Macaca fascicularis: one gene and its partners. The protein of the gene in region 3 interacts with the protein of the main gene of each other region in a biochemical or structural test. Links are inferred from orthologs where the notes say so. Each region holds a gene or a part of one and is shown on either strand. Other genes may lie near its edges. The genes, in order: UBR7, USP51 and histone H2B type 1-B.

Evidence for each region.
Region 1: of the proteins of histone H2B type 1-B (region 3) and UBR7, one has a biochemical effect on the other in vitro, tested with the Homo sapiens proteins (2 studies listed by BioGRID, with this or other methods). The link is inferred for Macaca fascicularis from reciprocal best matches to the Homo sapiens genes H2BC3 and UBR7.
Region 2: the proteins of histone H2B type 1-B (region 3) and USP51 form a complex in vitro, tested with the Homo sapiens proteins (2 studies listed by BioGRID, with this or other methods). The link is inferred for Macaca fascicularis from reciprocal best matches to the Homo sapiens genes H2BC3 and USP51.

The regions. Positions count from the first base shown.
Region 1 is NC_088381.1:161,213,920-161,221,876, forward strand, and holds part of UBR7 (putative E3 ubiquitin-protein ligase UBR7), read left to right. Parts: intron 1-3,051; coding exon 3,052-3,105; intron 3,106-3,302; coding exon 3,303-3,408; intron 3,409-6,923; coding exon 6,924-7,132; intron 7,133-7,610; coding exon 7,611-7,760; intron 7,761-7,957. UniProt on the Homo sapiens protein: E3 ubiquitin-protein ligase which is a component of the N-end rule pathway. Recognizes and binds to proteins bearing specific N-terminal residues that are destabilizing according to the N-end rule, leading to their ubiquitination and subsequent degradation.
Region 2 is NC_088395.1:55,605,219-55,613,275, forward strand, and holds USP51 (ubiquitin carboxyl-terminal hydrolase 51), read left to right. Parts: upstream 1-3,630; 5' UTR 3,631-3,689; exon of another isoform or gene 3,690-4,216; 5' UTR 4,217-4,391; coding exon 4,392-6,659; 3' UTR 6,660-6,906; downstream 6,907-8,057.
Region 3 is NC_088378.1:146,882,304-146,890,360, reverse strand, and holds the start of histone H2B type 1-B, read right to left. Parts: upstream 4,255-8,057; 5' UTR 4,202-4,254; coding exon 3,825-4,201; intron 1-3,824. Other genes in the region: histone H3.1, read left to right, coding at 5,940-6,350. UniProt on the Homo sapiens protein: Core component of nucleosome. Nucleosomes wrap and compact DNA into chromatin, limiting DNA accessibility to the cellular machineries which require DNA as a template.

The DNA of each region.
Region 1 (7,957 bases), on a different chromosome or scaffold from region 3:
CTGGGAGTGTGTCCCCTCTAGCCTTGATTCCTCAACTGCTTGTCATATCTGAGCCTCTGGCTCTTCGGGAGGCAGTGCGGGATGGTGAAAGGGTTCTAGATTTATCTTTTCTTATGAATCTGGGTCGGATCTATAATTGGTACACATCTCAACCGTTCTTTCCATTTTTACATCATAAGAATGAAATATTGCACTTTGGGAGGCTGAGACGGGCGGATCACGAGGTCAAGAGATCGAGACCATCCTGGCTAACACAGTGAAACCCCGTCTCTACTAAAAAAATACAAAAACTAGCCGGGCAAGGTGGCGGGCGCCTGTAGTCCCAGCTACTCGGGAGGCTGAGGCAGGAGAATGGTGTAAACCCGGGAGTCGGAGCTTGCAGTGAGCTGAGATCCGGCCACTGCACTCCAGCCTGGGCTACAGAGCGAGACTCCGTCTCAAAAAAAAGAAAAAAAAAAAAAAAAAAAGAATGAAATATTGGAGAGGACTTTCCCAAAGCCAGAGCTTCTTCCCTTCCTCTCCTTCCCTGACTGCCTCCCCCTGCCCCCTAACACTTTCTAAGAAATGACCTTCAATTTCTTCTGTCTCTCTACGGAAAGAAATGGGGTATACAAACAGCATCCTCTTAAAAATGTCGGCCGGGCGCCGTGGCTCAAGCCTGTAATCCCAGCACTTTGGGAGGCCGAGGCGGGCGGATCACAAGGTCAGGGGATCGAGACCACAGTGAAACCCCGTCTCTACTAAAAATACAAAAAATTAGCCGGGTGCGGTGGCGGGCGCCTGTAGTCCCAGCTACTCGGGAGGCTGAGGCAGGAGAATGGCGGGAACCCGGGAGGCGGAGCTTGCAGTGAGCCGAGATCGCGCCACTGCACTCCAGCCTGGGCAACAGCGTGAGACTCCGTCTCAAAAAAAAAAAAAAAAAAAAAAAAAAAAAATGTCAATGAGAAATATATGCCAAATTCAAAACGAGTTCTTCCTCACTCCTGCACCTCTTACCTCCCAAGCCTAACCACTGTTAACACTTTTGGTGTGTGTATTTTTAGGTCTTTTTCTGTGCACATTAAAGTGTTTTGAGTGAATGTGTTTCAATGTGTAATTTCCTTTCCATTAACCGAAGTGAAAATTCTGTACACTCACTTCTGCAGCTGGTTTTTCTCACCAGTATATCATAGACATTCTTTCATGTCAGCAAACACACTTACCCCATTCTAACTGCTGCAGAGTATCCTATAACTTCATATGCCATAAGTTAGTCAACCGAATTGTTCTTCTACAGCAGAATGGCATTATCTAATTTTTCAATATTATAAAGAAAGCTAGAGTGAACATCCTTATACAGTAATACAACTGAGTATACTCCAAGTATTTATGTAGAATGGATCAGTAGAATTGACAGATCAAAGTGTATTTGTGGTGTTTAAAATTGTGATTGGCCGGGCACTGTGGCTCATGCCTGTAGTCCTGGCTACTCGGGAGGCTGAAACACAAGAATCACTTGAACCCATGGGGCAGAGGTTGCAGTGAGCCGGGATTGCGGCACTGCACTTCAGCCTGGGTGACGGAGCGAGACTCTGTCTCAAAAAATAATAATCATAATAAATAATAAAATTGTGATCATATCTGCCAAAAAAGTTGAACCAGCAACAGTATATGATAATGTTTTTTCCCCAACACTTTTGTCAACCCTGAATATTACCAGTTCTTGGAAATTTTGCCATTTTGATAAATGAAGAATAGTATCTTAAATTTTTTTTCTTTCCCTGATGATAAGTGAGATTATGCATCTTTTCATGAGTTCGTTGGACATCCGTAATAACCTTCCCTCTGAATTGTCCTTTCATATCCTCAGCCCATGTTTTGATTGGTTTGGGTTTTGTTTGGGTATTTACTGATTTGAAAGAGTACTTTTTGTCTTTAGAGATATTAGCCTTCTGCCTTCTTCCTTGTTTTCTAATTGCGTTCGAACTATAATTATTAAACCAAATTATGTACAGGGACAGATTGAAGTTCTCTGAGTTAGCAAAAATAAAATCTTAAAACTGAAATTTTTTTTCTTTCTTTTTTTTAAGACGGAGTCTCGCTCTGTCACCCAGGCTGGAGTACAGTAGCGTGATCTCGGCTCACTGCATCCTCTGCCTCCTGGGTTCAAGCGATTCTCCTGCCTCAGCCTCCTGAGTAGCTGGGATTACGGGCACCTGCCACCATGCCTGGCTGATTTTTGTATTTTTAGTAGAGACAGGGTTTCACCACGTTGGCCAGGCTGGTCTCAACCTCCTGACCTCAGGCGATCCGCCCACCTTGGCCTCCCAAAGTGCTGGGATTACAGGCGTGAGCCACCGTGCCTGGCCAAAACTGGATATTTTAAGGCATGTAGTAAAGTGTTACAGCTCCTTCTGTTCCACAATATGTGCTTTTTTTTTCCCTTTAAGAAGCCTACAATAGGAAAAGGACAGAACAACATTGGGATGTTAATTAACAGTTATGAGAGCCTGGGAATAAAAGAAAGTCATCTCCCAAATAGTCTATGTTCTTTGGTATATTATTTTCCTAGGGCCAGCATTTAATTATTTAATTTATTCAAATTAGAGGAGTTATCTATCAAGAGGGTTTTCCTGACATTTACTTTTCAGTGTACTTGGCAGGATGGTTTTTCTGCAGCAGAAAAGCATTGTCTAATTTTTCAATATCATAAAGAAGGCTGGAGTGACCATCCTATACAGTAATACAACTGAGTATTGTATTAAAGGATGGTGTGGTAAAAAGTCCCAGTTGTCACTGTCTGCATCGGTCCATTCACATTACTTGCCTGGGCCTGAGTTTTGTATAAAATGGGAATGCCCTCCTTGTCTACACCGTTTTGTGAGAATCAGATATTAAGTAACTGATGTGAAAGAGCTTTGAGATTGTTTGTAGAGGGCTTATCTCAATGTAAGCCTTTGGAACACCAGTTCATGTGGAACGAATATTTAGTATCTTATTCTACTGCGTGCCAGGTTACTTCCATGTTCCCGAATTCAGTGTACTCCTTAACAAACTGCTTTTCTCTGCTAGATTCCAGATGAGATGATCCAGTGTGTGGTCTGTGAAGATTGGTTCCATGGAAGGGTAAGGAAAATGTTCTACCTTTTGAAACCATTGTCATCACAAAGAGATAAAGGTTATATTTTACATTATAATTACTCTTCTAAAAATAAATTTTAGTGATATGATCAGTGTATTATTACAGTATTTATTTGTAAAATAATGGGCATTTTGGACAGTGTGGCAATCACAAGAAAATTTTTGGTGTTCTGTATTCACAGCATCTTGGTGCCATTCCCCCCGAGAGTGGGGATTTTCAAGAGATGGTATGCCAGGCCTGCATGAAACGTTGTTCCTTTTTGTGGGCTTATGCTGCGCAATTGGCAGGTAGGTATCTTTGTGAAGTTGCTGTGCCATAAACTTGTGCTTGTGAAATTTGTGTGTTCAATTCAGAATTTTTAGCAACTATTTTTAACTCTGTGGTTATAAAATAGTATATGTTCTGGCCAGGCACGATGGCTCACTAATCCCAGGACTTTGGGAGGCCAAGACAGGTGCATTACCTGAGGTCAGGAGTTTGAGACCAGCCTGGCCAACATGGCGAAACCCCGTCTCTATTAAAAATGCAAAAATTAACCGGGCATCATGGCACGTGCCTGTAATCCCAGCTACTCAGGAGGCTGAGGCAGGAGAATCGCTCGAACCCAGGAGGCAGAGGTTGCAGTGAGCTGAGATCATGCCACTGCACTCCAGCCTGGGCAACAGAACGAGACTCCATCTCAAAAACAAAAAAACCAAAAAATAGTATGTGTTCTTTCTCCGCAAGGTGCATAGATTGGTTGGGACACTACCAAAAACAAATTTATACTTAAATGATATGATGCAGAATATTGATGAGACCAGAGTTAGAGAAAATGGAGGAGGCAGTTTTCAAATGGATTTTGAAAGATACATAGAACTGAAATAAGTTGTTAATTATAACACATGGTATCGGTTGGCGAGGGGGTGGTGTCTTAGTCTATCTGGGGTGCTAGAACAAAATACTTTAGGCTGGGTAATTTATAAACAATAGACGGATATTTCTCACAGTTCTGGAGGCTGGGAAGTCCAAAATTCAGGTGCCTGCAGAGTCAGTGGTTTGGTTGAGTGCCCATTCCTCACAGATGGAGCCTTTTATGTGTCCGTACCTGTTAAAAGGGGCAAACAAGCTCGCTTGGGCCTGTTTCATAAGTCCGAGCCCTCATGAATGGGATTAGTGCCCTTATAAAAGTGGACTGCAGGCACACGCTACCACGCCCTGCTAATTTTGTATTTTCTGTGGAGACAGTGTTTCGCCATGTTGCCCAGGCTGGTCTTGAACCCCTGAGCTCAAGTGATCCACTCATCTTGGCTTCCCAGAGTGCTGGGATTACAGGCATGAGCCACCATGCCCAGCCTATCTGGTGCTTTTATTATACACTAAGAAATTAAAACAACTAATTAATGAATGGTCCTGAGGCATTAAATGTCTTACTGGTAATGCTTTATGTGTTTCTTAATATATTTTTAAGGTGGCAGTTAAACTCGTAGTATCTGCTGCTTTGGCTTCATAATTTCTTGCCCTTCTCATCTTTAGAGATCAGTTCACTGTACAAACCATGAGCAGCATAGCTGTACCTCCAGTCTCATGTTTTTCTGTCTTTTTTTTTTTTTTTTTTTTTTGAGACAACGTCTGGCTGTGTTATCCACGCTGGAGTGCAGGGGTGCTATCTCGGCTCACTGCAACCTCGCCCCCTGGGTTCAAGCGATTCTTGTGATGTGGCTTCCAGAGTAGCTAGGACTACAGGCACATGCCACCACACCTGGCAAATTTTTGTATTTTTAGTGGAGTCAAGGCTTTACTGTGTTGGCCAGGCTAGTCTCAAACTCCTGATGTCAAGTGATCCACCCATCTCGGTCTCCCAAAGTGCTGGGATTATAGGCGTGCGCCACCACGCCTGGCCAGTTTGCCTCAGAGTTCTTAAGTGCTGCTCCCTTTCTGTTCATACCCTTTCCAGTGATCTCTCTCACTGTCCACAAATACTGAACCTATCTATGTATAGTTCTTACTCGTTGGGTTTTTTTTTTTAAGACGGAGTCTTGCTCTGTTGCCCAGGCTGGAGTGCAGTAGCACAATCTCGGCTCACCGTAACCTATGCCTCCTGGGTTCAGGCAATTCTCCTGCCTCAGCCTCCCAAGTAGCTGGGATTACAGGCATGCGCCAGCATGCGTAGCTAATTCTTCTGTTTTTAGTAGAGAAGGGGTTTCACCATGTTGGCCAGGCTGGTCTTGAACTCCTGACCTCAGGTGATCCACCTGTCTTGGCCTCCCAAAGTGCTGGGATTACAGGTGTGAGCCACCATACCCAGCTTAATTGGGTTTTTTAAATTGATCTCCTGCCTCTCCCTTCATTTCCTCTCCCGTCAGCAGATGGCTTCATCTCCTATTACATTGAAATGCTGGCATCCAATGTGAGCTCCCCTATCGTTTCTCTTCTCTGTCTCAGAGTATATGTGCTGCTACACCCATCATTTTTTTATTTCTTCCTCCCATAAAGAAAAGCTGTTTTTAAAAAAGTACCCTTCTGTCTGTGTTTACAGTTCAATCTCTTCCTCCTACTTCTTGTATTATTCTGTCTCTAACAAGTACAGTACATTATTTTCTCCTTTATGTGTAAAGTGCTTAAGCAGTGATTGATATTTTCAAATAAACTGTTCAATTATTTGAATTCTTTGGGTTAGACAGACATAACCTAAAGAAGCATTAGTATTTTCTTTCTCAGTATTTCGGAGACTATGGTGGACTAATCTCTTTTTCCAGATTCTGAAATATTTTAAAACCAGAAAAAGCGATTTTAGGTCAGATGTGGTGGCTCATGCCTGTAATCCCAGCACTTAGGGAGGCCGAGGCGGGCGGATCACCTGAGGTCAGGAGTTTGAGACCAGCCTGACCAACATGGAGAAACCCCGTCTCTACTAAAAATAAAAAATAGCCAGGCATGGTGGCGCATGCTTGTAATCCCAGCTACTCAGGGGGCTGAGGCAGGAGAATTGCCTGAACCCAGGAGGTGGAGGTTGCAGTGAGCCAAGATTGCGTCATTGCACTCCAGCCTGGGCAACAAGAGCAAAACTCCATCTTAAAAAAAAAAAAAAAAAAAAAGCAAAAGCTATTGTATGCCTGACGTGGTGGCTCACACCTGTAATCGCAGCACTTTGCAAGGTTGAGGCAGGCAGATCACTTGACATCAGGGGTTCGAGACCAGCCTGGCCAACATGGCGAAACCGTGTCTCTACTAAAAATACAAAAAATTAGCCAGTCATAGTGGCACGCACCTGTAGTCCCAGCTACTCGGGTGTCTGAGGCATGAGAATTGCTTGAACCTGGGAGACAGAGGTTGCAGTGAGTCAAGACCATGCCACTGCACTCTAGCATGGGTGACAGAGTGAGAATCTGTCTGTAAAAAAAAAAATAACAGGCCGGGCGCGGTGGCTCAGGCCTGTAATCCCAGGACTTTGGGAGGCCGAGACGGGCGGATCACGAGGTCAGGAGATCGAGACCATCCTGGCTAATGCGGTGAAACCCCGTCTCTACTAAAAAATACAAAAAACTAGCCGGGCGAGGTGGCGGCGCCTGTAGTCCCAGCTACTCGGGAGGCTGAGGCAGGAGAATGGCGTAAACCCGGGAGGCGGAGCTTGCAGTGAGTTGAGATCCGGCCACTGTACTCCAACCTGGGCGACAGAGCAAGACTCCGTCTCAAAAAAAAAATAATAATAATAATAATAATAATAGAATAAGTGATTGCATTGTCTGTTGGGATTTTATTGTCTGTTAGGTCAGTGGATATGTGTGTATGTGTTTTTCTTTTTTTTTCTTTGAACCCACAGTAACCAAAATATCCACTGAGGATGATGGATTGGTGCGGAACATTGATGGAATAGGTGATCAGGAAGTTATTAAAGCTGAAAATGGAGAGCATCAAGATAGTACCCTCAAAGAGGATGTTCCAGAACAGGGAAAGGATGATGTCCAGGAGGTTAAAGCAGAGCAGAACAGTGAACCATGTGCTAGCTCTAGTTCTGAATCTGATCTCCAGGTAATATGTGAAGTACAAGCCATCAAGAAATAAGACTGGGCCAGGTGCAGTGGCTCGTGCCCATAATCCCAGCACTTTGGGAGGCCAAGGCAGGCAGATCACCTGAGGTCACGGGTTTGAGACCAGCCTTGGCAACATGGTTAAACCTCATCTCTACTAAAATTACAAAAACTAGCCGGGCATGGTGGCACTTGCCTGTAATCCCAGCTACTCAGGAGGCTGAGGCAGGAGAATTGCTTGAACCCAGGAGGCGGAGGTTACAGTGATCCGAGATCATGCCACTGCACTGTAGCCTGGGCGACAGAACAAGATTCCGTCTCAACAAAAAAGAAAGAAAACTGAAGCGGAATTAATTCTGTAAACTTATGGCTTTGGATTTCAATTTTATCCTTTGCCTAAAGAAATCTCTTTACAAAATCTAAACTATGAAAACTATGGTAGTTTAAAAAACATGCTTCAAAACTTAATTTTATTTCAGACAGTGTTTAAGAATGAAAGCCTCAACGCAGAATCAAAATCTGGCTGCAGACTTCAGGAGCTTAAGGCTAAGCAGTTTATAAAGAAGGACACTGCCACCTATTGGCCCCTGAACTGGCGGAGCAAGTTGTGTACCTGCCAGGACTGTATGGTGAAGTATCTGATTAATTTCAGTGTTAGCATGTTTTGTGTACTGTGCCCCAAAATAAGGACACCTGGGAAAAACATTCAGTTTTTGTACCAGAGGAAGAAAGGAAAATAAAAAGAGCACCTGAACAGTATATTTATGGAATTAATGTTTAGGAGACCCTCAAAATTTTTACATTAAGCAAATTTATGACATAGTAC
Region 2 (8,057 bases), on a different chromosome or scaffold from region 3:
TATATTTATGTTAAATATACCATTGTCTTAAGGGATCCACCGGCTGTACCAGGATACCAAAGGGATCCAAGGCACCAAAAGGCTGAGGATCCCTACTCTGAAGGTTAATATTAGGGGTCAACTTGATTGGATTGAATTGAAGGATGCCTAGATAGCTGATAAAGTATTGCTTCTGGGTAAGGGTGTTGTCAGAGGAGACTGACGTTTGAGTCCGTGGACTGGGAGAGGAAGACTCATCCTCAATGTGGTTGGGCACCAACCAGCGCGGGTAAGGCAAGGCAGATGGAAGTAGGTGGGACAAGCTGGCTTGCTGAGTCATCTGGCTTTCATCCTTCTCCCATGCTGGATGCTTCCTTCTGTTCCTCCTGCCCTTGGACATCAGACTCCAGGTTCTTTAGCCTTTGGACTCTTAGACTTACACCAGTGGTTTACATGGGGGCTCTCGGGCCTTGGGACACAGACTGAAGGCTACACTGTTGGCTTCCCTATGTTTGAGGCTTTTGGACTCAGACTGAGTCACTACTGGCTGCTTTCTTCCCCAGCTTTCAGACGGCCTGTCATGGGACTTCGCCTTGTGATCATTTGAGCCAATTCTCCCTGATAAACTCCTTTTCATACATATACATATACATATACATATACATAAACATATACATATACGTGTGTGTGTGTGTGTGTGTGTGTGTATGTAGGATACATATATCCTATTGGTTCTGTCCCTCTGGAGAACCCTGACTAAAACACCTACTCTAGGGGATGTTTTGAAATGAACATCCAAGGGCAAAGGGAAGGCAATGGACTGACAGGCCGGATGTTTTCACATATGTAATCTCATGTGCACAGACAATACAGAGGCTTCTGTGGTTGAAGTGCTGGAGCCTAAAAAAGCAGAAAGTGAAGCTGAGGTTGGACCTACTCAGGGGTAGAGGGAGTTGGAGTAAGTTGGGCAGTTTCCATTTTAACCAAGAGACCACAGGGAGTCACCATGGGTCTGTGGGCAGGAGAGGGCACACTCCAGTGGTGTCTGAGGCTGTTGCTTCAGACACCCGGAGGCAGACCAGCTACGAGCTGGAGCACAGGAAGTAAAGGAACAGAAGAGGGGATCCATCAAGTGAGGGGGCAGGGGCAGGAGGCTGGGCAGACAAACGTGGGCCCCAAAGGACTAGAACCCAGTCCATGGCACCCTCCCTGCAGCCCCAGTCAGGGCAGGTAATGGCTCCAAGTCTGCCCTTTGGGATGCTGGCCTCTGAGAAGCGAGGTCATTGAGGGGAAGAGGCCCAGGTTGGGAGAAAGAAGGCTGTGTGAGGCTTCAGGGGTCCAGTTTTCAAGGTACTGAGTGAGCCACCAGGAGCACAGAGGCAGGCTTTTTCCCAATCCTGCTCTTTCATACACCACCCCACTCCCAAAGGAGCCCGCCAGACTGGCCACAGCTAGAATCTGTAAGAGACGCCAACATAACACAGTCCTGGGAAACCAGCTCCGTCAGACATGGTTCCTGCTACCAAGGCCAGAGTGCATTGACCTGGGCTTCTTTACACATAATCCCACAGCAGTGGTTCTCAAAGTGCCATCTCCATGCCAGCAGCATCCGCATCAGCTGGTACAGCGTTAGAAACCTAAATTATTGGGCCTCCCCAAACTCACTGAACTGGGAACTCTGGGAGTGGGGTCTAGCAGACTGTTAAGTCCACCAGAAGGTTCGATGCCACTTCATTTTGGAGGAACCTGTGAACTCCAGAAAGGCCTAAACCATGCAGACCCATTCATTTTCGTTTTGACAGAAGTGACCCATCACACTGTTCTGAGGTTTTCCTACAGGACAATTGTCAATGAAGAAATCATTTGTTTGGTCACCATAGCGTGTGGGCTGATTTAAAGGTGTGTCTAGCTCAATAACAATTGTTTTCAGAAACTTTTTGAAGCACTGTAACAATCCCACCTCCCAAATGTTAAGTTGTTGATTACGAGTGGTTTTTAGGCCTTTATTAACTAACATTAATCTTCACAGCACATTCCTTTGCATTTCCTGATGTGGATCTCAGGCAGAGACTCTGACTGACTTGCTTTTGTGCCCAGTTTTGTTTGGCTGTATATTCATAGTGCCCAGGGCAGCAGTAGGTGCTGTTTACATATCTGCTGCATAAATGAATCTAGGTAGGGCTGGCATTCTCATGATTCTGATTTTGCACAAAAGAAAGCAAAGGCTCAGAAGACAGAAGTATTTATAAATTGTGCCCTGCCTCTCTGCCTGCATAAAGGGTGCAAGGCTGTCTCAGAGCAGCTGGGATCCACGCCACAGGTGGCGCAGCTAGCAAACGACTGACTCAGCATTTCCTTCTAGCTCTGCGAATGCAGAAGCAACTCTTTGCTTAGCTGTGACTGAGAAAATGCCCTTCCCTAGGGGAAAAGAAACACGTTTTCCTGCACAAGCCAGTCTATAATTCCAAAGCACTTTCCCTCCAGGTGCTGGTAGGTGACTGAGATATGGTCGAATCTAGACCAAGTCATAAAATCACTGATATCCACAGTGCGGACATATCCACTAGATGCCACTGCCAAGTTAAAGAGAGCTGAATCCTAATCGTGAGGTTTTGAGGGGAGATGTGTGACTTTTTCAGAGAGATTAAATGTAGCATTAAACATCCTCTGTAATAAACCGTAATTTTCTTGGGATTGGACAGGAAGGGCAACAAGCCCTGGAGATAGCTTTCCTCCGGGGTTGTCACCTTGGATGCTGGATCTGTCACAGAAAAGGAAAAGTCTCCTGGCCTATGGACTTCAGGACACAAACAGTTGTATCTTGTGCTTCTCACAGCACAATCTAGTGCTATAATGCACCGATGGCATCTTTGTTGAATGCATGCTCCTGTACATGAACCGCCTAGGAGGGATGATAGCGTGAGCTGAGCCATAACTTGGAGAGAGCTTCGAAAGAGAAAGGCATTCTCTTCTCCTCTGCTCTGCATCAGTTGTTCTCTAGGCTGATTTTCAGGTCGGGACTGAAAAAAGAGGTGTGAAAGATAAAGCTTGCCAAAAAGGTCTTTTACTTGATATATACTATGACTTAGTGTTCACATTGGGTTAGGGTTATTATTTCAATTTCTCTTAAAAAATTGACACAACTAAGGCTCAGAGAAGTTAAGTGTTTTATCTGAGGTCACACAGCAAGCATGTGCCTGGGCTCAGGTCTCTCTGAGCCTGAGCCCTTGCTTATGCTTCCTCCCCTGCACATTCTGGGATAATCTCTCTCTCTCTCTCTCTCTCTCTCTCTCTCAACTCCCAGAGACCAGACTCTGACAGGATCCTGAGGGATTTCTGCCAGGGAGTTGCCATCTCTGGAAGCCCCCACCCCCATGCCGGGCGAATCTTTTTTTCTGTGGAGTGCGGGCCTGGAGCTAGGTGAGGCCTGAGCCTCCATTTCAGGGGCTTTCTGTAGAATCTGTTGCTGCTGTTGCCTCCAGTAGAGTCTGTTTCAGGAAGAGGTTTGCCTGCCTGCGCGGGACAGCGGTGCCATTCATCACTGCAGGAGGGCAGAATCCGGGGTTGGGGGCCGCACGTCGAGAGGGGAGGGGCCAGGGGGCGGCCCCCTTGTGACCAGCCCTGAGGAGAGGTCAGGAGAGAAGGCTGGCTGAGGAGCGCCTGGACAGCAGCAGTTGCTGACGTTCTATATCACGCGCCTGGGGCCCAAGGTAACCCAGACCTTTAAACAAACCGCCGGGCTGGGGGCGTTGCGGGGGCAGGAGAGGGAAAAGGGAGCGGGGACTTCGGGGATCGCCCGAGGATGGTGGTGGCCTTAGAGGTGGCAAATGCCTGAAGGGAGGGAGTAGTAATCCGAATTCTAGGAGAAATCGTAGGAATTGAAGTCGCAGAAGCAAGAAAAGGGGTGTGAGAGCACAAGAGCGAAAAAGCGTGAGAGGGCGCAAGAGCTGGGCGGAACGAAAGTGCGCTGAGGGGCAACGGCTTAGAGTGGAACACACCGGGTCACAGAAGTATAGATAAGGTAGGAGCAGAGGGACACTTTCTTCCTCTGAGTTCATTTTCCAAAAGTGCGTCCTTTCAGCCATTTTTGAGAGAAAATGTTGACCCAAGTGTTTTTTAGGATACAGGGAAAGAACGTCAGAGGAAGCTGCACCAAAGCGAGGCTGCGCAGGGCGCAAAAAAGCAGACAGAGGGTGGCGCCTTTTTTAAAGAAGTTTCCATCCTTTCTGTCCTAAAGCTCAGGCCGTTCCCCACCCCCACCGCTCGCTAGCCTTCTGTTCCCAGTCCCCTGGCCCCTGCACGATCTGAGCGTCTTTAAAGCAGGTAACCGCCTCGGTCTCCCCATCAGCTCCAGGGGCCTCTCAGTTGAGTGGGTGGAGCCGGCAGCGGCCGCGGGCTGAGCTCAAGGGCCGATGGGAGGGGTCCTGGGGGCGCTAACTGCGCACTGCGGCCATGACGCTGGGCAGATCATTCACAGAAGTCTGTCTCGTTTCATCTACAGTCGCAGCTCGTTTCCAGACGCCTTGCTTCTCAGGTCGAGCAGTGATCTGATGGCCCAGGTTCCAGAAACTTCTTTGCCCTCCGGCTCTGGGGCCCGCTGGATCTCCGGAGGTGGGGGAGGAGCCTCTCCTGAGGAGGCGGTTGAGAAGGCGGGGAAAATGGAGGCGGCGGCGGGGGCGACGAAGGCGTCTTCGGGACGGGAAGCTGAGGAGATGAAGCTGGAGCCATTACAGGAGCCTAAGCCCGTGCCGGAGGAGAACTTGACGTGGACCAGCAGCGGCGGCGACGAGAAGGTGCTCCCTTCAATCCCCCTTCGCTGTCACAGCAGCTCCTCGCCCGTTTGCCCGCGCCGCAAGCCCCGCCCTCGGCCCCAGCCCCGGGCCCGCTCCCGCAGCCAGCCTGGGCTGTCGGCCCCACCCCCGCCTCCGGCCCGGCCCCCGCCCCCGCCGCCACCCCCGCCCCCATCCGCACCGCGGCCCAGGGCCTGGCGTGGATCCCGGCGCAGATCCCGACCTGGGTCCAGGCCTCAGACACGGAGAAGCTGCTCTGGTGACCTAGACGGGTCGGGGGATCCTGGCGGCTTAGGGGACTGGTTGCTGGAGGTCGACTTTGGTCAGGGTCCCACAGGTTGCTCTCATGTGGAGAGCTTTAAAGTAGGTAAGAACTGGCAGAAGAACCTGAGGCTGATCTACCAGCGTTTCGTTTGGAGTGGGACCCCAGAGACTAGGAAACGTAAAGCAAAGTCATGCATCTGTCATGTATGTAGTACCCATATGAATAGACTCCACTCTTGTCTCTCCTGTGTCTTTTTTGGCTGCTTCACTGAGAAACATATTCACAAACATGCAGAAACAAAGCAGCACCATTTAGCTGTAGACGTTTATCATGGGGTCATATATTGCTTCATGTGTAAGGATTATGTATATGACAAAGACATAGAACAGATTGCCAAAGAAACAAAAGAAAAAATTTTGAGATTAACTTCCACCTCAACAGATGTTTCTCATCAACAGTTTATGACATCAGGGACTGAAGACAAGCAATCAACCTGTGAGACAAAGGAACAGGAGCCAAAATTGGTGAAACCCAAGAAAAAGAGAAGAAAAAAGTCAGTCTATACTGTAGGCCTGAGAGGGCTAATCAATCTTGGGAACACTTGTTTTATGAATTGTATTGTTCAGGCACTTACCCATATTCCTCTACTGAAAGATTTCTTCCTCTCTGACAAGCACAAATGTATAATGACAAGCCCCAGCTTGTGTCTGGTCTGTGAAATGTCTTCGCTTTTTCATGCTATGTACTCTGGGAGCCGAACTCCTCACATTCCCTATAAGTTACTGCATCTGATATGGATCCATGCAGAACATTTAGCAGGGTACAGGCAGCAGGATGCCCATGAGTTCCTTATTGCAATATTAGATGTGCTGCATAGACACAGCAAAGATGATAGTGGTGTGCAGGAGGCCAATAACCCCAACTGCTGTAACTGCATCATAGACCAAATCTTTACAGGTGGCCTGCAATCAGATGTCACATGTCAAGCCTGCCATAGTGTTTCCACCACCATAGACCCATGCTGGGACATCAGTTTGGACTTGCCTGGCTCTTGTGCCACATTCGATTCCCAGAACCCAGAGAGGGCTGATGGCACAGTGAGCAGGGATGACCACATACCAGGAATCCCCTCACTCACAGACTGCCTACAGTGGTTTACAAGGCCAGAGCACCTAGGAAGCAGTGCCAAAATCAAATGCAATAGTTGCCAAAGCTACCAGGAGTCTACTAAACAGCTTACAATGAAAAAATTACCCATTGTGGCTTGTTTTCATCTCAAGCGGTTTGAGCATGTAGGCAAACAGAGGCGAAAGATTAATACCTTTATCTCCTTTCCCTTGGAGCTGGACATGACTCCGTTTTTGGCCTCCACTAAAGAGAGCAGAATGAAAGAAGGCCAGCCACCAGCAGATTGTGTGCCCAATGAGAATAAGTATTCCTTGTTTGCAGTGATTAATCACCATGGAACTTTGGAAAGTGGCCACTATACCAGCTTTATCCGGCAACAAAAGGACCAGTGGTTCAGCTGTGATGATGCCATCATCACCAAGGCTACCATTGAGGACTTACTTTACAGTGAAGGGTATTTACTCTTCTATCACAAACAGGGTCTAGAGAAAGACTAGTCTTACCAGACCACTTACTGAAAAAAAGTAAATGATTAGGCAAGGATTTTGAAGTGACACACAGACCTACTTGGAATGGACAATAACACCTATATGACAGCTAGTATCTTGATGTAAAGAACCTATTTTAGCATGGCCCATGGGTCTGTAGGAAGAAAAAAAATGAATACTAACCAGTGACCATTCAACCTTAAGAAATGGGGAGAGGGAGAAGAGGTTGAAAATGGTCACATAAAACATAATGAAATGAAAAGAATGCTTTAGGTGGGGACAATGGGAGTACAGGTGTTCTGATGCTACTATGTCATTTGTTTCTACAGAAATATCTTGTGAAGTCAGGGAGTATTCCTTTATCAGCAAAAACTTCACAATTGGTGTTCCAGCTGTGGCTGACCAGCCAAATAGTTTGAAAGAAAAATGATATTTTAAAATAAAGTTTAAAAAGCTTTAAAAGAAAAACATTTAAAAAGGAAAAATCATTTTTAAGGTTTTAAAAGAAAAAAAAATTTAAATGTTGAAAAAAATTTAAGTTGATATTTTTTAAATAAATATTTTAAAAGTTAAAAATAATTTTTTAATTTAAAGAAGTTTCAGAATTTTAAAAATTAAAAGCAAATTAAATTCTTAAAGTTTAAAAATGTAAAATAAGGAACAAGGTTAAAAATGAAAGTTTACCAAAAAAAGGAAGAAAATACTGTTAAAAATTAAAGTTAGAAACAAAAGAACATCTTAAAAGTTTCAAATGAAGGAAAATAATATAAATAGATATTTCAAAATTAAAGCATAAAATATACATATTTAAAAAGTGTTAACAAAATTACTACTATAATGATTAAGAAATAAATTTTCAAAAATACAGAATGGAATGCAATTCAATTTTAGAGAAGTTTTAAAAGAGGAAAGTTTAGAATAATTCAATACAAAAAGACAAAATTTGTTTAAAGACAAAAATTGAAAAAATATAGGAAGAAAATAGAGACTTGTGAAATAAAAAGAACCTTAGATAAGTTCAATTCAAGAGATTTAAATGAAAACTTTAAATATTTAAATAAAGATTTAAAAATTTAAACTTACAAAAAGTTACATAAAAATTGACAAATGAAAAAATGTAAAAGATTCAAGTAGAAAAAAATTATTAAAATTAAAAGTTTAAGAAGTTCTATTTTTTTATTTAAGCATATTAAAATACAGACGGGTATGAAAGAAATGGAGGAGACAGGAATAACAAGACAGCGGAGTGTGAGTATATATATTTTTTGAACTTTATGTTGATATATCAATATACTTTGCAAAAGGAAATAGACATTTTAATCATTATCTTACCATCCAATTGTGAGATGGCTGCAAGGCCTAAACACTAACTAACCCACCTTCCTCTCTTGAGATTCCATGCCCCAT
Region 3 (8,057 bases):
AAAACAATGGTAATAATAGTACTCACACTTCTTGAGTTTTGGTGAAGATTGAATGAATTTATACTTGCAAAGAACTTAGAAATGTGGCCAGACGCAGTGGCTCATGCCTGTAATCCCAGCACTTTGGGACGCCAAGGCGGGCAGATCACCTGAGGTCAGGAGTTCGAGATCAGTCTGACCAACATGGAGAAACCTTGTCTTTAATAAAAATACAAAATTAGCCGGGTGTGGTGGTGCATGCCTGTAGCCCCAGTTACTGGGGAGGCTGAGGCAGGATAATTGCTTGAACTCTGGAGGCGGAGGTTGCGGTGAGCTGAGATCTCACCGTTGCACTCCAGCCTGGTTGACAGAGAAAGACTCAGTCTCAAAAAAAAAAAAAAAAAGATTAGCAAGAGAAAAGCATACAAATGTATTTAATATAACTTTTATGTTACATGCGACCCTTCAGAAATGAAAACTCGATGGAAGCAGGAAACCTGTGTATTTTTATGGTAAGTTTAGTGAAATGCATAGTTGTGGATTAATACGATTGACAGTAGGCATATGATCTAATGGTAATAAACTGAGGGGACATAGGAAGGCTTGTTTGTTAATTATCTATTAACGATCAGCAGACTATCAACAGAGACAGCAAAACATCCTAGTTTTGAGTTAGAAGACCTAGGTTTTTGTATTGGCTTGTCAGTTATGGGTATTGTTTTAGATAAAACATCAAGTATTCTTGATTTCTTATTTTTAAAAAAAAGGAAGGAAAGAAAGAAGGAAAAAGGAGAAGAAAAGTGTCAGAGTCATTTGAACCAAAGTGACTCCATTTTGAGTGTGGACTAGGAAAATGAGGCTGAGACTTGCTGGGCTGCATTCCCAGAAAGTCAATCATTCCTAGCTTCTAGATGTTTATGGTTAAGGGAACAAATAAATAATGTTTACTAAACAGACTCAGACCTGGGAGTGTCCAGATATCCCTATATCTGGAGAACAAAGGCATTCCTAATTTTGTTTAAAGATAATAATGTCTATTCTTGCAAAATATAGTAACTAAAAAAATCAATCCTTTATCACAAACCCGTGTAGCAGAGCACATCTCCCCATATATACAAGCATTGTACCTACAGGGTGGATGCCTTCCTCCTCTTACTTTCCGGAATGTCCTGCTCTGTCTATGGAGTAGCTGTCCTTTCACCACTTTACTTTCTTAGTAAACTTGCATTTACTTTGCACTGCGGACTCACCCTGAAGTCTTTCTTGCGCGGGATCCAAGAACCCTCTCTTGGGGTCTGGATGGGGACCTCTTTCCTGTAACATATTTCTGGCCACCACAGAAGGGACTATAATACAGAAACCCTGACCCTACAGCTACCTTTGGATAAGTGTTGGAGTTCTGTAACAAAGGAAGAAAGCAGGCAGGCAAAAAATTTATGAAAGAACATATGACAAAATAATATCTGCTTCAAAACTTAATATTTTTAAATTTTTTTTTTAATGAGTCAGGCTGTTTTTTTGGGGGGGTGTGTCTCATTCTGTCACTCAGGTTGTCACGGCGCGATCTTGGCTTGCTGCAACCTCTACCTCCCAGGCTCAAGTAATCCTCCCACCTCAGCCTCTCTAGTAACTGGAACTATAGGCATATGCCACAACGCCCAGCTAATTTTTTGTAGAGACTGGATTTCGCCATGTTGCCCAGGCTGGTCTCGAATTGTGAGCTCAAGTGGTCTGCCTGACTAAGTCTCCCAAAGTGCTGAGATTACAGGCATGATGCACCTGGCCCAAAAGTTCATTTTGCAAATGCTTATATTAGCAGGTCTCACTTCTCCGGGGAAAGATCCTAAATATCAGTTTCTTAAACTGCAGCCTCAATTGCTTAGTAATGTTTTGGGGGAGGTGGTCGTTTTATAATTTTAAAAAAAATTATAGATTTTTTAAAACACAAGCGTCTCTTTCACAACGGTAGTTTGCATATACAGTACTAGGATGGGAAGTGCTTCACTTACAGTTGTTCACTGACATTTTGTGTGGCATCCAGATTTTTTTTTTATTTTTGAGACAGGGTCTGTCCTCACCCAGGCTGGAGTGCAGTGGTGTCATCACAGCTTACTGCAACCTCCACCTTCCAGGCTCAAATGATCCTCCCACTTCAACCTCCCCAGTAGTTGGGACTACAGAAATGTGCCACCAGGCCTGGTTAATTTTTAAATTTTTGGTGGAGACAGACTCACTAAGTTGCCCAGACTGGTCTTGAGCTCCTAGGCTCAAGTGATCCTCCCACCTTGGCCTCCCAAAGTGCTGGTATTACAGGCGTGAGCTGCACCACACCCGGCCCAGAACCTCTTTTAAAATATTCTTAAAAATTAAATCTGGGCCGGGCGCGGTGACTCATTCCTACGATCTCAGCACTTTGGGAGGCCAAGGCGGGAGGATCACTTGAGCCCAGGAGTTCACTTGACCAGCCTGGGCAAGATAGTAAGACCCTTTGCCTCCACAAAAAATTAAAAAATTAACTGGGTGTGGTGGCGCATTTCTGTAGTCCCAGGTACTCAAGGGGCTGAAGTTAGAGGATAGCTTGAGCTGGAGAAGTCGAGGCTGCAGTGAGCTATGATGGCACCTGGCCAACAGAGCAAGACCATTTCTCAAAACAGAAACAATAACTGTTTGAGAAACTTTATTTCTTCATCCGAAGACACTGCTGAATGTCACCTACATATAATGCCCGTAAGTTCACTTAAAATACTCCCCTCCGATTCCCCCATCCCCTCCTACTTAGTGTGCAATCAACAGGTTCTTTTCTTCTTCCATTTCTTCCCCCAGCCCCAGACCAAGAATTGGCCCATTAAGTCCTCCTCAACTAGTACCCTTCCTGCCTTTTTCTAGCTATATTGTTTTTGGCGTCCCGGATTTCTTGAAAAATGCTTCCCTCTCCAAGTGGGGCCTTCCTAGTATCTTTGCAGTAGGGCCAGTTGGGGAAAGGCACAAAATTCAAACCCTTTTGTATCTCGCAGAGCTGGAAATCCGAATTTTAAGTGGCCTAGGAAATGGGAATCTGGATTTCTGGGATGCATGAAATATGTAAACTACATAGCTGTTGTCATTGATAAACAATTATAACGCAAAACTACTGCGATTTCATTTTGTGGAACGGGAAATATTCCCTACAAAGGCGCCCGGGAAATCAGACTTCGCTTACTGTTTCCTCAATACTGGAGGAAATCTTTCCTTCTTACTGGAGGTAAGAATTTACAGCATAGGCAAACTGCAGGAGCAAATATCCCTACACGCCCTTTTGTCGCTTAGACTTTTCTGCTCCCCTCCCCCTCATCTCAAGCGGTTAACGGCTAATGACCCCCATAGAAACACTGTACCCTGAATTGCATTACTTGTTTCATTATCCAGAAAGGAAAGTTTCCTGTGCTAGACCAGGGAGGGAGTAGTGACCATATCAAATGAATTACAACTAGTACCCGAAGGCTTACCCAGGGGGAACAAAGAAGTTTGCTAAAGGCAGATGAGAAAGAGCGCCAGCACCCTCCTAACGTTTGTATTTTTAATAGAGACCATGTTGGCCGGGCTAGTCTCGAACTCCTGACGTCAAGTGATCCGCCCGCCTCGGCCTCCCAAAATGCTGGGATTAAAGGCGACAGCCACGGCGCGCTGCCCCAAGTTAACCTTGGCTCTAAAAGTTGCCTTCGCTAACATTCTAGTTGATCCTCTAGAACTGAAGCAGAACAGAGGCAGCACCACCTTAAGAAATTGTGGTTATAGCTCTCTTTGCGACAAAGTAGGTGGCTCTGAAAAGAGCCTTTGGGTTTGGAGGTGCTTACATAAGCACTTACTTGGAGCTAGTGTACTTGGTAACAGCCTTGGTGCCCTCGGACACAGCATGCTTAGCCAGTTCCCCGGGCAGCAGCAGGCGCACAGCCGTCTGGATCTCCCTGGAGGTGATGGTCGAGCGCTTGTTGTAGTGCGCCAGGCGGGAAGCTTCGCCCGCGATGCGCTCGAAGATGTCATTGACAAAGGAGTTCATGATCCCCATGGCCTTGGAGGAGATGCCGGTGTCGGGGTGGACCTGCTTCAGAACCTTGTACACATAGATGGAATAGCTCTCCTTTCGGCTGCGCTTACGCTTCTTACCATCCTTCTTCTGCGCCTTAGTGATGGCCTTCTTAGAGCCCTTTTTAGGGGCAGGAGCAGACTTAGAGGGTTCAGGCATCGCTATTCCTAAAACAAAACAAAAAAGCTACTAACACTCTCCAGCAGAGTAGTAGAGAGAACAGTTCAGAGCCCACGTATTTATAGTCCTGAGATTCAAATGACGGTTTAAGATTCCTCACTTCTGATTGGATAAAAGAAATACAGTTTCACTGAGGGGTGGGGTTTATGCAAATATGGAATTTATGGACTCTTTTTCTATTGGATAAAGCAGGAAACATAATTGACCAATAGGATAACTCTCTATTGCAGCCTTGCAGTTTGTATAAAAGTATTTCTTCAGGCGCCATTCCATCTTGCTTGTTTTTTACAGTTTTCAGAGGTCGCTGTGTTTGGACATGGAAAACGGAAGTAAAGCACAAAGTTGTTCATCGGTACCAGCCTTGCAGTTTCTAGTAGCGCAGGGTCCATCGTCTTTTTCGAAAGGGCAATTATTCTGAGCCTGTCGAAGCCGGCGCGCCGCTGTACTTAGAATACCTGGCCGCCGATATCCTGGAGCTGACACGCAGCGCCATACGTGACAAGACCCATAGCATCCCCCGCCACTTGCAGCTGGCCTTCCGCAACGACGAGCAGCTCAACAAGCTGCTGGGCAAAGTCACTATTACTCAGGGAGGCGTCCTGGCCAATATTCAGGCCGTCCTGTTGCAAAAATAACCGAGAACCACGATAAGGCCAAAAGCAAGTAAAGCCCACTCAAGCCAGAAAACGTACCTTAAACTTGCTACGGCATTTTTCAGAACCGTCCATTGTTTCACAAGAAAGGATGGTAACTTGCTTGTGTTTCGGGTACCTTTTGGTTTTGGTTTGGATTGGTTTGAGACAGAGTTTCGCTCTGTCACCCAAGCTGGAATGCCGCCGCGCGATATCGGCTCACTGCAACCTCCACCCCGCGGCTTCACCAGGTTCTCATGCCTCAGCCTCCTTTGTACCTGGGATTACAGGCGTCTGCTACCACGCCTAGCCAATTTTTGTATTTTTATTCGAGACGGGGTTTTCACCATTTTAGCTAGGGTTGTCTTGAACTCCTGGCCTCAAGTGATCCTCCCATCTTGCCCTCCCAAAATGCTGGGATTACAGGCGTGAGCCACGGCCCCCCTAGCCTAATGGTGTTTAAAAATTAAGTTTCGAGGAAATATCTTCTTTAAGAAACTACATTTTAGAGTATACAAAGTGAAACTAAAGCCAACCAAAATAAGACAGTTTGAGAACAGTCAGGGTGGGAATGTGACTTGGACTTAGAAAACGAAGGATAAGGAAACTGGCTGTTGACCAGTAACAAAATAGCATGGAATTCTCATTCTCTGAATGTAAGTAGTTTCCGACATGAGGCAGTCAACGTTTCTGGTGGTTTAGTGAGTGTTCACCAGCACTGATAACTTTCAAGACTGTCAGGAATGCAGAATTTCAAGTCCCACGCAAACTTACTGAATCGGAATTTACATTAAAAAAATCCGTAGATGCTTTGTTATGTACCTTGTTCTTTGGGACTGGATGAACTAGAATTTTAGACAATTTATCCCTGCAGATAACAAACAAAAAGGACATGATGGGCGGTGGGGCGATTCATCCAATAAGATTGCCTAGTAATGAACCAATCAGGCTGGTCACTCTTCAGCCAATGGTTTTATCGCGCGGGACTTTTGAAATATTACAGAACCAATCAGAATGTTTCTAACTATATTTAAAGACCGGTTGCTCTCAGTTCAGTACGCTTTTGTGTGTGGGGGTCATTGCAGATGGCTCGTACAAAGCAAACAGCTCGCAAGTCCACCGGCGGCAAAGCGCCGCGGAAGCAGCTCGCTACTAAAGCGGCGCGTAAGAGCGCTCCGGCCACAGGTGGGGTGAAAAAGCCTCACCGCTACCGGCCCGGTACCGTGGCTTTGCGCGAAATTCGCCGTTACCAGAAGTCCACCGAACTGCTGATCCGGAAGCTGCCGTTCCAGCGCCTGGTGCGAGAAATCGCGCAGGACTTCAAAACCGACCTGCGCTTCCAGAGCTCTGCGGTGATGGCGCTGCAGGAGGCTTGCGAGGCCTACCTGGTGGGGCTCTTCGAAGACACTAATCTGTGCGCTATTCACGCCAAACGCGTCACCATCATGCCCAAAGACATACAACTGGCACGTCGCATCCGTGGGGAAAGGGCATAAGTCTGCTTATTGCTTCCTAATTGAAAAGGCTCTTTTCAGAGCCACTTACAATTTCACTTAAAAACAGTTGTAACCAATTCGGTAGTTCCCAGGAGATGTAGAGGATTTTAAAGATAAGTACACACGCTTTGAATAACTGCAGACGAGTACATCAGGCCTTTTCTTTTGGGGCGGTTTTACTGCAAGAAAGCCAGTTGAGTGACTTTTTTGCCCTTGTTAAATCCTAGGGATCTTGTCTTTTTAACATGTATATGTGTATACTTAACATTTCGAAACAGGCTTCTGGTGAAACTTCTTTTAATCCACCTGCCAATTTTAGGTCTGATGGCATTTTTATTAAAGCTATCGTAAGGACAATGTGCGTATAGTTACCCAAAGTTCACAAAAACATTAATACCCCAAAAATCAGTATTGGTATTGGGCTATTGGAACTGGAGTCAGAGCTCAGGTGGAAAAAACTGGCCTCAGTACACACAGCCAGAAGTCCACTAAATTTATGCAACAAATACATATGACTTGCGTATGATCATCTAAAGATTATGCAGTCATCCTTAAAATCCAGGAGATTTGAGAAGGGTAGCAACTGCAAAGCTCTTTTACCCATGTCCTCTTTTAATAAATATTTAATGTAAAATTAAAAATGCAAATGTACTGCAAACTGTAAATATTAATTTATAATGGGAAAATAAAATCAAACTCCAATTTTATAAAAGCTGACAAAACAATAGCCATCACAAAATTTAGAAAATAGCAAATTGTATTAATTTCTGAATATGACACAACGATGTATATTTTCGTATAGTTTTGACTGAATACTCTCCATCTTCAGATCGAAATTATTTTGTAATATTGTCTATAGGTAATGGAAATAGAATCCAATCTTTCTTCCAGGGTGGCTATTGATAATATGTTTTCTTGATAACTTAGAAGAGTTTCAGTTTCAAAACACATTGTTGGTAATGTCAAGTAAGTTTTTAGGATTGTTTTCAAATTTGGAAAATCCTCTGTCAAGTTCCTTTCACATGTAAGTTGTAAACTTTGTAAGAATTCTTTCCAGACTAGCTTCTGGCTCTATACATTTCTACTCTCCACTAGACACTCACTCAGTGCTGGGAAGGTGTTTTGAATACTTAGATGTCATAACATTTTATCTAGACCTGTATCTTGCCAGGAATTTAGGTGAGTTATTCCAGTGAGCCATTCTTACATCAGATTGGCTGGCAACAAATGAACTACACATGAACACATATGCAAATCACGTAACTTATTATCCCCATACTAGACACATCTTCAACTAAACTTTCTCTTACTCAAATTCCAAATATTTTCATCAGGATTCCAACATAATCAGACAATGATGAATTTTAATAAAAAGGAAGATTGAGTGGAAATAACAGTCTTAACCTTCTGTGATTAAAATACCTTAATACTGCAAATTTTAAAAAGAGAGAGACAAACTAACACATTTGTAGGGCCCCTCTCAGCACCTTGGAAGTACAGGCCCTTACACTTGTGTTTCATTAGCTTCAGGATAAATCTGCCTCAGATCACTGGCCAAATTATACGTGGCCTTCTTTAGCATCCTACCTACTCTATTCAAATACATCTCTGCAGGAGCACCCTATGAGTTGAGAATTACTGTTCTGGGATGACCACTGTTTGCATGATGCTTTGGATGCTGGTGCTGTTCTCAGAAGAAATACCAGA